Linked DNA regions of Lepisosteus oculatus. The protein of the gene in region 1 interacts with the protein of each later gene in a biochemical or structural test. Links are inferred from orthologs where the notes say so. Each region holds a gene or a part of one and is shown in the gene's direction. Other genes may lie near its edges.

Region 1 (8,043 bases):
AGAACGTTGCTTACTATACGTACGCTGTCCACTTAGCCGAGGTGCTGAAATAATTTGAATGCGTGACCCAAGGTGAAGATAACTCTAGGGGCTTTTTTTAAAACGGGTAGGTGCCATGTTTTAAATAGCTGTTCTTTCTTTGCGTCTTTCTTTCTTTAAAGCGCTGCCTTAATCTAGACTGGAATGCTCTAGTAAATTTCTTTTTCGCACAGTCTGTTAATAAAATCCCGTGTATTTAATAACGAACAATAAGTTTTGGCAACTAACGATGATGGTGACACTTTCATCGCTTCTTGAACTGCTTAAGACTACCTGTAAATTGCAAGTGTTATAGTAACGACGTGCTCCTGAATTCTGAATTCACATTGATCATTTGCAATTCCTTGGTCTGAAACAGGACTCCCATCGTTAAGAGGTTCTTAGACAAAATATAGACTCATGGTCTATCACTGTCATGAGAGCTGACTGTACACGAATCAACGTACTGTACAACCAGTCTCTTAGAAATCTTTCCAAAGTCATTAAATCAAGCTGTGGGTATTGCAAAGCTCAAACGCAACAGACCTCGGAGGAAGGGTCTCTCCTGTCTTTCTTCCATCTGCCCAAATTCTGCAAAACTGCTCTCTACAGTCATATCGTAGATACGGACGTCCATCTGCAGTGTTAATCATAGATTTACTATTGAATAATAACTCGGTTTCTTTTTTTAGTAATTCTTTAATGGGCCATGTTTCCTTCCCATTTTTGCAGCAGGTGTGTAAGAAAGCAAAATGAAGGCCTGGAAGAGATAAAAACTTTAGCACTCCAGTTGCGGTTGTTTGTAGGCGCGGGGTGGGGACAGGGGGTGTTTGTTCAATTGGCTTAGAATGACGTGCTTGAATCTGATCGAGGCTTTGCACCCTGTGGTCGGTTTCACGCTGCATTTGATCTTAGGGATTCCTATACACGGCAGCTACATCACAGGATCCAGTGCTGCCTCGTTGACGGAGGCCGTGTATGGATGATGAGTACCTGGATTATCCAGTTCCACTCCTGGAGAAGCAAAGCTCTTGGTTCTTGAGATAATTCTCTGTAATATGCTTCCCACCTCCGATATTACACAGACAGGCAAGAGCTGTCAGATCTGTAAAGGTTTGATGTATCTCAGAAAATACAAAAAATTAAAGACTGTAAATTGTCTACTACTACTGTTACTGACTACCACTAACACTACAAGTATTTGCATAAACAATCGACTGGTAAACATCTCCCTCTGGCGTCGCAAAACTTTATTGCATCTCCTAACCTGGAAGAGACGATCTTGGCAATTCCGCTTCAGAATTCCACAGACAAAAAAAAAAAGTATTCGTCCCTTACGTTTTATAAACAATCATTTCTAGACCAAATTCGAAAATACAACAAAATAATTTCAAAAGTGTGGGTGACCTGCAGAGGTTATTCTGCACCAGGCACCAGAAGCACAACCACACACCTGATGAAGTAGAAAAAATAAGAAGCTGTATCATCAATTGAATGAAGGGGGAAGTCCGACTGTGGAATTTGATCGTATACTGCAGAGTTATCACCTATACATTTGCGGTCGGTAGCATGGTGTGTTAAATGTGTTATCGGGACAGTGGTTAAACTGTATCTCAGATGAATGATGTCAACTTCTATAGCACAGGTTTCCTAGTACAGTACGTGTACCACATTAGTTTGGAAAGATGTTTAGTCCAGAGGAAAGAGTGCCACCTACTGGTCCACAACTGCCACTTACAGCAACAACCGTTTGCAAGTCATTGCTCTTTCTTTAATATCGGAATGATCTGTTTGCATTTGACCATTTTCTGATCAATGCACAAATGCATCTATACATCTAGAGGATTACATATTACTTTGTGTATTGATATGCAAATTAAATAAAAGGTTGTGGAAAAAAGCTGAACACCATGGAGCCTGATGTTTTAGTATAGAGCTAAATGTATAAGAATTGCCACAGATACACCTTCTTTCCCCAAAAATTGGTTTGTATTAATACATTTTTAAAAATGCTGTTGTTCTGTATACTTCTGGGGAGCAGTTGAATGACTTAACTGGAGCCGAAAGCAATTTAAAACGAGACATCTGCTAAGGAATTCTAATTACAGGAGATATTCAAATTGACCTTCATGCCGTATCATTGAACATGTCGATTCACTTGCCTAAACCTCATCCAGCTGCGAGGAAGAAAAGTCCTCCAGGTTTCCCATGAGGAAATATCAAGGAGTGTAAGCTGATCCTGAAGGTCATTTGAACAGGGCCTTGGCAAAAACTTAACTGTCCTTTAAATAAGTTTTACAACCTAGTTTGTACATGTGTGAAACACTGTACATTGTCGACTAGAACATACAGCCCTTCATTTAGAAGTTAATCAAGGCATGAGCTCAACATTATTCATGTTTTCTTTGGTAAAAAAAACTTAATCTCAACTTTCCAGTATTTGGACTTGCCATTGTTTGAAGTGGAACACTGAATTTTCAGCAATGCATTCTGTTTTTAAATTGAGGGAAAAAAGACAGTTCTGTTGACCAGATGGATAATGCATACAAGTGGAACAAGACTATTTGCTCTGAAGCTAATTCTAAAGGACAGCTGTGCACCTACGACTGCCACACATGATTGAAAATTGGACACTGGTTTGAGCAGGCACTTAGTCATGCTTAAAATGAAATGAGGAATTATTGACAGAACCTTTATACTACAAAACAAATCCTTAAACAAAACCTGTAAAAGCACAGATTGGTTTAATTCTGAAACTGATAGTGTTGGTGTCACTTGTGGTCATAATGAATTATTCAATTAGCTATAAATTAACAATCACAGTAATGATAGTAGTAATATTCATCTTCTTTACACTTCTTTTTGTGGGTAATAATCATCATCTTTATTTTACATAGTTCCTTGAAGAACAAGCATTTTTCAAAGTGCTGCACAGCTGTACAAAAATAACACACGTGACAGATTAAATTGGCCAAATAAAATCAAGATTAAAATAAAACGGTGCACTCTAAGAAGAAAATATAAAGAAAAAAACCTTTCAAGGATTCTTTGGAATATCCACAGTCATAGACTCTGTGAGAATGAATGCCAGAGTTGTGATGCTCCATGAAAGAACGCGTTATCATCCTCTGTGTGACACCTGTTCATAGGTAGAAGAAGATGACCTTATTTTATAGATTTCAGATGAAATGTTGAACTACACTCATGCAAAACATTCTAAAGTAACCTGGATCTAGGCCATTCAGTTCCTTATCTGTAAGCAGGAGAACTTTAAAGGCTTCTCTTAAAAGGGTTAAATGTTGAAGCAGAGCAGTTTTAGTTAGAGAACACACCACAGAAATCTCAACATACTGATGTTTATTTAGTACCTTAGCAGATATAACAAGTTTTACAACAATCTAATATGTATTAAATATCTATTAAATAAAGGTAATTATCAATTTTTCAAAATCAGATGGAGTAAGGATCTTAACTGGGCAATGTTGTATAGATTACAATAAGATTCATTTTGTGTTGTCAAATGTCAATACAAGATCATAAATTAACACCAAGGTTTCTTTAGTCAAAGGTTTAAATTCTGCACCTTTAAGAACAACACTGAAATCACCAATTCTGCACAGCTGTTGTCAGTAGCCAAAAGGCAAGTTTAGCTTTCACAGTTTCTGTTGCATCCATGTCAGCTGTGTCTTATTAATTATAGCATGTTACTCTCGGTGTCATGAACATAACAGTGAAATCAACACCACGGTGAGGAACAGTCTAACCATAAATGTATACACTAAATAGTAATTGTCCTAGCAGAGAACTACATGGACCTCCTAGAATATCTGTGATAACATTATATTTGAAATAGCCAATAGCCATATGAATTTTAAACAAATAGCAGCCGAAGCAATGAATCCCTAATCCCTACAAACTTTTCCATATAATAATTATAATTAGTTAACAATTGCTTACACTTATATAGCACTTTTGTGGACACTCCACTCAAAGAGCTTTACAGGTAATGGGGACTCCCCTCCACCACCACCAATGTGCAGCATCCACCTTGATGATGCGACGGCAGCCATAGTGCGCCAGAATGCTCACCACACACCAGTTATCAGTGGGGAGGAGAGCAGAGTAATGAAGCCAATTCATAGAGGGGGATTATTAGGAGGCCATGATTGGTAAGGGCCAATGGGAATTTTTGGGCCATATGCTCTTGTAGAGTGCCATAGTGTAACTGACAGACAAAACTGCACTTGGGACCAGAATAAAAAAGAAAATTAAGTGACCTAGAGACTGAAACCATCAAGTCAATACCCACCATAACAAGTCTCTCTCCAAACTCAGACTCAGACTCAGAGAAGCTTCAAACAGATCATAACACAGGCATCTGAGCTATTGATTGACCAATTCAAGAATTTTGGCAAGAGATGGCATATAGGTAACAGGACTGCAGTTGTGTGTAATATTTTTAATGTCAAGGCGTTGACTTCATCCAGGTGGATGCTGCACATTGGTGGTGATGGAGGGGAGTCCCCTTTACCTGTAAAGCGCTTTGAGTGGAGTGTCCAGAAAAGTGCAATATAAGTGTAAGCAATTATTATTATTATTATTATTATTATTATTATTATTATTCATGTACAACTACATGAATAGGAACGGAATCTGAATGTACGTCGCATTTCTGGCCCCAAGAAGTTTGTTGACAAAACATTGGTAACAAACATGTTAAGTGCCACCGTATGAGAGTGAGTACAAAAGTGTGCCCGTTATTATATTCTCCTGCCTTTTCTTTGCGGATCATCATATTCTGAAACACTCAACCGTGACATCAGGTTCCCCCCCAACTTTTATTTTCTTAACTAGCTTCCCTTTACTGTGCGTGCGCCTCTAAGATCGCGTTCCTCGCCTCACGGTTCACCTTTCCTACGGCAGACACCCGGAGGCGTGAAACTCACGTTAAAGGTTAATATGCTGCATCGACGCAGCGCATGGCTTTAATGGTGTGTTTTTGTCTCCCGCAGATTTTTTTCCCCTCTACCTTTATCTCGCGCGAGTTTCGGTGTGGGGTAGCCCTGCGCACTGAGAGCTGTTTGTCCGCCATCACTGTGCAGAAAGAGCCGAGCACTTGGAGTGGCGGCGGCGGCGGAGTGACAATACCAGCCCAGAAAGAGGGACGTAGACACGCCGGAGAGGTCGAGGGGGCTAAACGGCATTCCCGTCGGCACATTTTCCCGCAGCTGCCCACGTAGTCTTTAATGTAAATAAAGAAACAGACGCGATCCAAACATGTCCAATCTAAGCAAAGGCGGCACCAAGAAGGACACCAAGATGAGGATACGAGCCTTTCCTGTGAGTAGTAGCCGGGGACGGGGCACCTAAGCGGGCGGGCGAGGAGACTCGAGCGCCGGGGATTCGGTCAGGGAATGGCGAAAATCAGGCCTCCCAGTTAGTAAACAAAGGCTTTGAAAATACGCGAGCTACTGAAACCTTGCTCGTGTACACGATCTTGAAATGCCTTTTTCCCCCTCTTAAGTAAAAAGTAATGTCTGGGAACAGAGGAGTGAATTTACAGTCCGACGTTAAATCTTTGTTGTTAGTGAGGCCTTCATTTTTGACACATTAATAGGTCAGTGAGCAAATCGGCAGGGGGGAAATGGTAGCTAACATTTCAGTAGTTCAGGAAGTTTTATTTTCATTATAGATCGTGATGGCATATAGCTATTTCATAGCCACAGCATTAAGCCTTACGACAACAAAAATGAGGTTGTTTCTCTTTCTGATTTCAGGTAAGTTAGCAGAACTAATTGCATGTTTAGCAAGGTGAACTTCACACCCGGAACGTAACAAAAAGTACTAAATCATCCGCTCTGTGAAGTCAGTACAGTTGCCAAAACAAGAACATGTTCCGCGACATGGTTGTCGCAGTGAGTAAATTAGTTTCACAGCAGTGTGTAGGCCTGACTGTCCGATAAAATTGTTTAATACTGAGGTTTGAATGCATAAGCGTTGTCAAACGTCGTAATGACTCGCATTGTTAAAAGAACAACTAAAATAAGGATATTTCATGGCGTATACGTCGAATTAAAAGAAATGAACGATAATCTCATAAAAATCTAGGTGGTCAGGAGAGTCATGTTTCATAAAATGAGTCACTACTAATGGTGTTAGTAAAGCAATAGTAAGGTGAAAAGATGCCTTGATGTCATGTATGTAAATCAAGGTGTGAAATGATGTCGTTAGTTTTGGGAAGCTCGATCGTTTTGTGGACTCTAGAAAAACACTGGAAATCTGTCATCAGATATTGTCTCTAACATGTCTTCCTTCAGGAGACCCTCTTTTCGTTGGGTTAGGGACATGTAGTTATTTGATGATCCTAGCATGCCAAAGTTGTCTTTATACCTCAGGAAAGCCCATATGATAAGCAAGTGTAAGGACTGGCCTGTAACTGCAGTTCATAAGTCATGTCCTGATTCGTGTGCAGCCCTTGTAAGTTGTTTTCCTTGCTAATCAGTGATTTGCTGAATTGCTCATTGCCTGCTCCTTTAAAAAAAATACTTCAGTGGCAAATTGTTTTAAAACAGATACTAGGTGGTCCTGCATTTCACTTTTTGCAGAAACATCTTGCTGTTTCTGTCTATAATTAACTGTTTTAATCTCATACTTTTGACCTCTCTTTTGTAGATCAAGGCTGAAAATTATGTAAAAATTATTAGTCTTAACATCTTAAGGTGCTTATTAAAAAATACAACATATCAGGGGGTTGAAGCTATGTTGATACATTATACCTGACTGTAATTGCTTGTAACTGCTTAAGATGTACTGAAAACTAAATGTCAAAGCAGTTGTCCAGCAGTGAGTTGGCTTCACGCAGAATTGCCTTGGAAGTGGAAGGATTAGTCCTCCGATATCTGCTGTGTAGATATTTACCAGTGGGTATCACAGGTTGCATTTTAAGTGATCTTGGCAGGGGGTATCCTAGTCCATTCCTGGATGAGAAAAACCTAATAGGAGGTATCACAGTCTTGCCAGTTCCCATCCCAAGGGTGTCTGATCTGTGCTGTTTCAGTCAACACAGTTATTTAGGGCAACACATCATCTTAGTCGAAATGTCAGTGAATCAGGCCTGCTCACATCATCTGACACTTGAAATGTTTTCAAGTGGTAGTAAAATGCAACACCCACTCCATTATTCTCTTTCCATACACCTAGTCTTGGTGAGCTACGTTTATGCTGACCAGTGTAAGGATGGTCCATAGTTTCTTCGTAACACCGGTACCATAATGTCCTATGGTTGTAGTTGCCATATGTTCCTCTTGTACTCTCTTATGCTGTAGTGTAAAATGAGTGCTGTACTCCTACAGAGTATTGGGAACACACATGCAGAATGAAATGATTTTCAGTCATTTATCATAGAATTATTGCCACAGAATAATTTTTCTAGGCTTTTAATTGAATATGGTTCTAATAGATGACTAGATGACAGTTCATACAGCATAATTCCAGTGTTAACCTGTCAAGGGAACCGATGACTGCAGTGTCTGATTTCATATTGATCAAAGCCTGTGATAAATTATCAATACATAATACCTCTGTGTTCTAATTGTATTTTAAAGGAAGCATTTTAAAATCAAGATGTGACATATAAATTACCGATTGGTGTTCTGTCATTTAAACTAGGTTTTCCCAAACCCAGTTTTGGAGGTCTGCAGTCCTGCAGGTGTTCATTCCTGCGCAACCGTTAATGGTCAAGTTTAACTAGCTTTAGGCTTGATTTGTGCAGTTCAACAAAATGTCCCTGCTCTACAGGGGCTGCTTATTTAAAGAGGTCTGTAAAACCTGTAGAAATATGACTCTCCAGGCCTGTTTGTTTGAAACCTCTGGTTTATACCATTTAGAATGTTTTGAAAAGAATTCAGTGAAGCTGAAATTGAAAGAGAAAAGGATTGGAAGTGAATTAAAGGGAGAGATTGTTTACATCTTTACATGTCACTATACCATTGCCAAATCATTTATAATCCTTATATAATTTAGTTC
Region 2 (8,068 bases), on another chromosome or scaffold:
CATTCATGGAAAATTATTTTGGGGTGCATAATCTGCTGATAAAGCCCACAGAAAAGGTTTGAAATACGGATGACTAAAACGTGTGACTTGACTTCTTTTAAATCAAAGAAAAATCAAGGTTTCACTGCTCATTTTAATATTTTCTTTCAGTTTTATAATTGTACTTTAAAATAACCTGTAGAAAAGATCTGTAACCTTGATCTCTGAAGCATGGTATTTGCTTGCAGTAAACCATCAAGGGTTAGACTTCAGAATGTACAGGTATTGTCACAGTAAATGAAGCCGTACAATGTTTTTACATGAGTGGCATAAAAGTGTTTTTTGAGGTAATCCTACAACTCGATGGACAACAATGTGTACAGGATTGCTTACTCTTGTGTAGACCTTGTCATGCTGCACACTATGTTCTCCAGATCATTTTTAGACTTTACAGCCGTTAGATTAGAAATCCTATGTTCTTAAAAAATGAAGTCACATCCCTGTTTGTCTTGACACGCGATACCATCTTATTTTAATAATTATCGCAGCCTGTCCATGAAACTCGGGTACTTGCAACCTCTGAACATCTGCAGTATGTGGGGTTTGTAAGTGCTCACAAAGACTTTCAGGTTTGCACTGGTTTTGTCACTACCAATTTGTCAAAAAGCCCCCTTGAATGCTTCTTTTACTTTAGAACCCAATTAACAATTTGGTTAAAAGTTTGTTTTCCTTCAGAATCTGGTTTTCGTTAAGATAACGGGTGTTCCTGGTAGAGCAGACGATTTCCTAGGTATTCCGTTTGATTTTGCATCCAGAGAATACAGCCAATCCGTTTTCTCTCTTGTAAAGAGTTCCTGTTGAAAGGAGGTAATGTCGAGGATTGGTGGCTGTGTGTTGCTAGCAGACTGTTGTCAGCAGAATGGCAGGGTAGTGAGCATCAGTCACCTCTCATTCTGGCTTTTCAGCTGGTTTTGTCAAATGTTCCTAGTAACCAGTGATGTTTTCTTCAGCCTAGACAAAAACGTCTGTCTGCCTCATATAAGAATCGACTATGAATTAAGGAAGAGTGGTGATTGTTTAGTATGATAATACAAATTCTTCTATATTTTGTGTTTGTTACTTTTATTTTTTGTGTTCACATTAGCCATTAATATGGTGCTTAGAGTTTTTTTTTTGTTATATATGTATATATTTTACTCTGCATTCAATGTATTGGGCTTTTAGACAATTAAATTAAACTATTTCTGAAGATCAATAACGATACAATGTATTTTTTTACGCTTGATCCCTTTTTACTTCCATTGGTTTCTAACATCTGAAATTGTGACAGCTTTTGTGGCAGGGTGGATCTGTTCTCTATGGATATTGTCATTGCTCCATTTATAACGATGTCCATAATATTTAAGTAGTAGCTAGGGAATTTCATTACCTTTTACGTACATGAATGGTTTTGTTCATTTTCACAGTGGGGAGCTGTTCAAAGACGTTTTTGTTCCAGGATTTCTCTCAACACGTTCTCTGCACCTTGTTTTCCAGTATAAGATATACTGTACATGCATAAAGTATAGAGGAACAAAAAATTGTAACAAAAGCATATTTAATTCGAGCAAAAACTTAAAGGGGTGAATCTCTTCAATTTATATTTAACACTAAAGCATGCTGTTTTGCTGTCAGTTTTTTTTCCTGTTTTAAATTTCACTAGTGGTCTACTGTAAAGAAAAGTGTTGTATTGCGCATTGCCTGAAACATAGTGTTACATTATTGTCCTAGAATTGTGTTTTGCTTGTGTTCGTGATTGATGAACCATTAAGGAGGGAGTTCTTGACTGCCTGTAAAAACTACTTATGGATGCACAGTTCACCCTTTTATATTTCTAGAAATACAGGCATAAAAGGGGGGCACAATAGCAATAGTTTTAGAATATTTTTGCTATTAATTAACTCTAGTTATATCAAAACGTATAACACTGTCCTCATTCTGTGACAAAACAGATTGGTTTTCTATTGGTATCTATGCAAGGTATAATGCCATAAGACCATTCTGTTCTATTATAACATTATTCAGTTTGCAGTTTGTTTCACACAGAACATATCTTAACAGTGTGCAGTTTATAGTATTCTTAAATCACATTTTCTGAGAAATACCTGAATTACTGTACTTAATCCTGCAAAAGAACGATCACAAATCCTAGCTTTTGATCCAGGGAATGTCTGGACTGTATCATATATTTTTATCGATACCTAGAGCTTTTAAAATATTTTTGAACAAGAGATGGGTATTGAAAAATATGGAAGTGTAAAATTATAGGTGTATGAATGTCTTTCATATCACCATTTGATTTATATGCAGTAGCCTTATTTGTCAAATAATGTATTCCCCATTATCTTAATAAAAAAAGATTCCTCGGTTTCTTTGACGGCTGTGGGTTTAGTGAAAATAAAAGCATTTGGATTGTTGAATAGTTTTACAACTACTATACATGCACCAGCATGGTAATAAGGATGTCTGGGTTTCAATTATCCTCTTTTAAATACATCTGAACATTTTGTTTCAGAACATTTTCCTGTACATGATTTATACCTGTGTAGTTCTGAGTTTTGCTGCTGTGGGGTTTCTTGAACTTACTAAAAGGATACATGAATCTTTAAAAGCCCGATACAAGCACTCTGCCCTTGTATGTCTTGTTTGAGGTTCTGATAAATATTCAGTGTGGCATTGTAGTTTACACTAACTAAAGAGATCAGAACTGCCTGCTACACTTTTGGTGAAATCTTTTGAATTGATATTCCTAATGTAGTGTGATGTCTTCCACTTTTTAGTTTTAATGTTGACATTAAACTCTATCCCATGCAAGATTTATTGCTCCTGAGGGGATACTCCAAACAGGTTTTTTTTTCCCCAGTTATTCCACTGGATGATAGCGGTTCATTCTACCTTCACTACAATGATTTGACAGTGATTTTTTTTATGAATAAAATGTAAACATTTATGAAAATCCTTGGCCTTTACTCTTACTTTGAGATGAGATTTTGATCTAAATTCAGTTTTTTTTAATAATCTTTAAATAACATGAAATATACAAATGTGCTAAAAATCTGAATGTTATAATTGCTTTTTATCTCTGTGAAAATGTGAAAGTGGAAAATGATTTTTTTTTTCCTGAAAGCATTTTTTCTTAGTTTAACTTCACTTTGAGGTTAGACTTGATAGGAGAAACTTGATGGACTATATAAGTGTTAATAGATGAATTGACAGTTCTTAGGTACAAATTCCTTAAATTAAAATTGTAGTGTCTGTTTTTATTATCCTCACAAGTATGATAATTACAAACATTTTACATTTTTTATGTAATGGGTGAATTTTGTCTGTAAAAGTTACAATTAACCTGTGATCCATTTATAGAGTATGATTTTGTTTGTTCTGTAGTATATACACTATTTGTAGCCTGGAATGCAAAGCAAACTTGAATTCCTAGGTTTTATGTTACATATACCAGTTGAATGTGTGCCACTACATAAGGTTAAAATGCTGTACAATTTTTTGAATGATAATCGTTTATGTATGGCTGTCTGGCTGAACTATTTTGATGTAATGCATTATTTCTGAATTTATTTTTTAAGTTGTATAATTTATTTTCTTGCAAAATAAACGGTAAAGAGGCTGTTGAATTGCTTGCTGCAATTATTTTGGTGAATTTGTATCTTTCTAGATCCTCTTACATCTCTTACAGTATATCTCAATCTTCCCTATATAAGATTAGAAGGAAGGCACACTCCTATAATTCTCCTAACATAAGCTTTTCTCCAGTTTTGACTTTTCTGTTTTTGTAAAAAGATGTAGTAATAGTGCTTCAGTTTTTTTTTTACATTCTAAAGAGTCATTTCTATAGAAGCATTTGATACATTTTTTTTCATGACGGGAAAATATGATTAGGTTAGACTCACCCAATATTTTACTTGTTTACATTCATTTATGGATGAGACCTCTAAAATAACTGTGAAATATGGTTCTATTCACAGCAGAATTAACCTCCAGCCTAATGCAAATTATTTATGTGCATATAAACACTAACGCAACTAATTTATGGCACTGAAATTGTGCACCTATCAATTGTTTATATAACACCTGACTTTATTTTAAAGATTTTGTTACTCTTCATGTACCTTGTCTTCTACTTCTTCTTTATAACCAACATTAGATCTTATTCTGATGATTAAAACTGTCACTATAATGATATGAATACCAAAGATTTTATTCCTGTTGAAAACACGAAAGTATGGGGAACATTTTTAGCCTATACACCGGATTAAGATCTAATGGTACTTAGTGCTGTAAATTCACTTATAATTAATCTCACGCATTTATATAGTTTTGAGGGGAGCTGCAAGATTATAGCTTGTAACACACTTTGCATTTTATAAATGCCTGTTAATCTATTTTTTTTTATTTTATGCAGTATTTTTTTTTCACATTTCCACAAACCAGTGCACTTGCATAAACGGGACCAACTAGTTTCAAGAATGCCGAGGGGGGCAAAATGCATCTATCACATAAAGCGAACTAATGAATTCTGCCACAAAATAAAGATTTAATTTTTTTTACATTTCCCCATCTATATAAAAGCAAACAGATTTTAAATACTTGATTTGGTTGTATTACCTGTGTTTGTATATGTTACAAATTAACTGACCTCCCCCTTTAAATGTGCAAAATGCTGTGACCTCAGAGGGTTGCTGTTGCCCCGGAAGGAAGGAGTTTGCAGTGCCGGTGTGAGAAAGTGTTACTCATTTCTGTGCTGGTGGATGGAGAGTTCGGTTGCTGTGCGGGCAAAAAGAAAACAAAGTGTCGGAATTAACTGGTTTGTACAATAAAATGTCTCAGGTTTTTACTTAGCTCAACAGTGAGTGCAAAACTTGTCGGATTGTACGGAAACTAACGACGGTATTTGCTCAATAAGTCCAGTCCTTTTTTCTTCTGCTGCTAGTGGTAGCTAAGTCTAGACTAAATATAGCCTGGAAAATGCTGGGACAGATCTTACTGAGAACGTTACAACCTTGTAAGAAAAACTATGAACTGCCGATTAAGACCTTGCGGGGATCGGTTTAACGGTTAAAGATACAAGTACTGTACAGCACGACGGTGAAGAAACAAAACTAATTACAGTCCTTCTTTTGCGGTGGGATATTTTCAGTTATGATTTCGTTGTTTGGCTAAAAAAGGATAGGTTATCCGATTTTGTTTCGCTACAGTGCAGGCCTGTATATTTTTGTTGCTTGAAAATGAATGTCTTGTTGATTATGGTACGTCAGCCCGTATAAACGCAGTAACGAATTACCGTGAAATACCTCGACAGACTGCAACGACTGGTGGATATTATTTTTCTGACTGGGTCTTCTCTGATAAATTGTGAAGCACGGGCAAGACGAAATGCCCGATCGTTTTCTTCACGCCAAAATGTGCAAATGTATTTGGACCTATAGGTAGCTCGGTTAAGTTGTTGGATTTTGCAGCAATACGTTTCTCACCATGAAGTGGTGACGCAGTTAGTTTTCAGGCTCAAATAAATATTCGAGAAAAGACTATACCTTTCTTAATAGAAATGTTATTGCGTACATCTGCCTTGCCAACTTGTCTTATTTTACTGCTTATGCGTGGGAAGTTAATATGGGTCTTTACATGAAAATGTTAGTTTTGGTTCAAATGCATAACGTTTCGTCGTGCAGCAAGATCTACGATATCGCCAGTGTCCCAGACTTGGGTGTCTTGGGGAAAAAAGAGTAATATTTTTACAACACAGTTGTCCATGTCGTATGTTCTTTCATTTAGTGTAAGAATCTTTGCCATATGAGTTAGACTTAAAATATACATTACATTTCCCTGTTCGTTGCGCAAACTTTAAACACGACGACGTAGTGTCGTGGTCCTGACCTGTTCACTTTAATCTTCCATGACTATTTAAATATAATTACTATTACAAGGAATTACTCACTTGTACAATAGTCTGATTTCTTTGGGGGGGAGGGGTGCGGAAACGTCTTGACGTGTAGATTGATGTGGTTTGGGGGTTCAAAGAGATTGAATGATTATTTTGTTCTTGAGACTAAAGCATCTTTATGGAGAGCTTCAACGAAAGGGAAAATCTGATTTTTTTAAAAAGGTTGAACTGTTAACATTATGATCTTAATTTCACAGTCGGCAAAGAAAAACTGTTACAAGCGTAGGGTTGTTAACCCAGTGTAGTGTCTAAATTCTGCTTTTGTCTTGCACAGTCTTGGGCTCCCTAAAATTACTAATTAACTGGTGAGGCAGTTTCTCACTTGTCCTCCTGATCTGCTTTGGAGTGGGGCTGCTGGTTTATACTGGCTGTCTGCATGTCACCCAGGTACTGTAAATGGGTGCTTCACTCCAGTGGAAGATCAAGTTGGTCATCTTATATATGTAGAGTGATTTGGGATGCTTTGGTTTTAAAGGGGCCACAGAAATGCACGAATGTCGTCTTGGTCGTATGTCCATTTTAGCTCAATCTAGTTATTTTCTCTACTCGGATGTTTAGGGCCTTCTAAGCCAGTGCTTGCTCTAACCATCTTTCTTTTTTGCTTTGTGTTTCAGAAGAAACTGTGCGTACTGGCTGACATTCAGCACGTATCTCAAACACTCGACAGGCTTGTATGTATTTTATCTTGGTTGTCAGAGCTACAGAAAGCAAAGGTTTTTTGAATAGCCACAACAGGGCATTCTGTTGGTGTCATTGTATCTGTAAATGAGGGAACCGGAACTTCAGTCTTTAATGGAAAACACTATTGGAGTCTGACCTTATTGTACTTATTTTCATCCGTCACTCTTTCGTGTTCGCTGTGTGCATGTGGTGTTGGGGTATGTTTTCTCTAAGAGAAAATATATGGAAAAGTTCTATAAATGAAAGTCAACCATCGTGGTAAGAATGCTTTTGAGGCTTTAGAACTGACGATCTTTATTTTGATACTACTTTACTCTTCAGAACTATTTGTAACCAGGTAACAGGTTATGTACTAATGTTCTTATTTCATGTCTCATAGAATTTATTAGAAGATTTGAATGGACAAGGTGACCAAAAATACATAGGTACCTCTTAATTTGCTAAGCTTTCCATCATTTGCACAAATCAGTCCTACATTTGCACTCATAAATGTATTTATTTTTTTTACCAGGACAGAGTCAGATAAGCAGAACGTCCACTCATTCCATAATGCCAGTGAAAAAGAAGAGAAAGTCTTCAGGTCCTGATGATTCTGGTCTAAGAAAATGCAAAATAACTAGGTAAGATTTCCATTGTCTGGTTTCCGTTTTGGATGGGACAGTTATCCTTAACGGAACATGATAAAGATTACTATATGTTCATTTTAGTAATTAGCACTTGTTAAACCATCAACAATTTAACTTTTATGTTAAGACTTTTATATAAAACACTTTCTGGCGAAATGTGATTTATACATGACTAATATATGTAAACAGAAACAATTCTTACATTTTCATTCAAAATAATCCATTGCGATATTTGTGATGAGGCTGGTTAGTAGCAGCAAATGATGTACCTTATTTTACATAAGAACATGCCGAAAAGAGACAAAACGTTTCGGCCGTGGAGCCTTTTAGGCTCCAGATTAACAGACATGAATGTAATTTAGAAGAAGATCACACAGATGCTTACAGTGAATTAGTCAGATTACTCTGACACCTGATCATCACTCGAAACAATAAATGGGAATCTATATGATGAAGAACATGCCCTCGAATCTCAGCATCTCTTGTTTTGTTGATGATTGTGTAATACTTTCCACTGCCCCCTTGTTGGAAACTGTTTTACAGCAGTGTGGAATATGTAACAATGAACTCTAATATCCTTTTATCTTAGATCAGGTCCATCCAACCACTGTGTCTGTACACTCTGATCTAGCACAGAAAGCATTCCTGGAACTTTTCCTCACTATTGTAACAATGTGGGAGTGTGAGGAGCCGTGGCAAACACCGGTAAAAGCCAACACCCCGTCTGAGGGGGCAGAGGCGGTGTGAGGCTAGCGAATTCCGCAAAAAAACAAAAAGGGAAAAGAAA

The links. The genes of interacting proteins can lie anywhere in the genome.
Region 2: the proteins of cul3b (region 1) and dcun1d5 form a complex in vitro, tested with the Homo sapiens proteins (2 studies listed by BioGRID, with this or other methods). The link is inferred for Lepisosteus oculatus from reciprocal best matches to the Homo sapiens genes CUL3 and DCUN1D5.

Annotation. Positions count from the first base shown.
Region 1 is NC_090708.1:6,825,592-6,833,634, forward strand, and holds the start of cul3b (cullin-3b), read left to right. Parts: upstream 1-4,915; 5' UTR 4,916-5,295; coding exon 5,296-5,358; intron 5,359-8,043. UniProt on the Homo sapiens protein: Core component of multiple cullin-RING-based BCR (BTB-CUL3-RBX1) E3 ubiquitin-protein ligase complexes which mediate the ubiquitination and subsequent proteasomal degradation of target proteins.
Region 2 is NC_090700.1:10,125,564-10,133,631, reverse strand, and holds the start of dcun1d5 (DCN1-like protein 5), read left to right. Parts: upstream 1-4,728; 5' UTR 4,729-4,837; intron 4,838-6,588; 5' UTR 6,589-6,645; intron 6,646-7,034; 5' UTR 7,035-7,080; intron 7,081-7,166; 5' UTR 7,167-7,204; coding exon 7,205-7,275; intron 7,276-8,068. UniProt on the Homo sapiens protein: Contributes to the neddylation of all cullins by transferring NEDD8 from N-terminally acetylated NEDD8-conjugating E2s enzyme to different cullin C-terminal domain-RBX complexes which is necessary for the activation of cullin-RING E3 ubiquitin ligases (CRLs).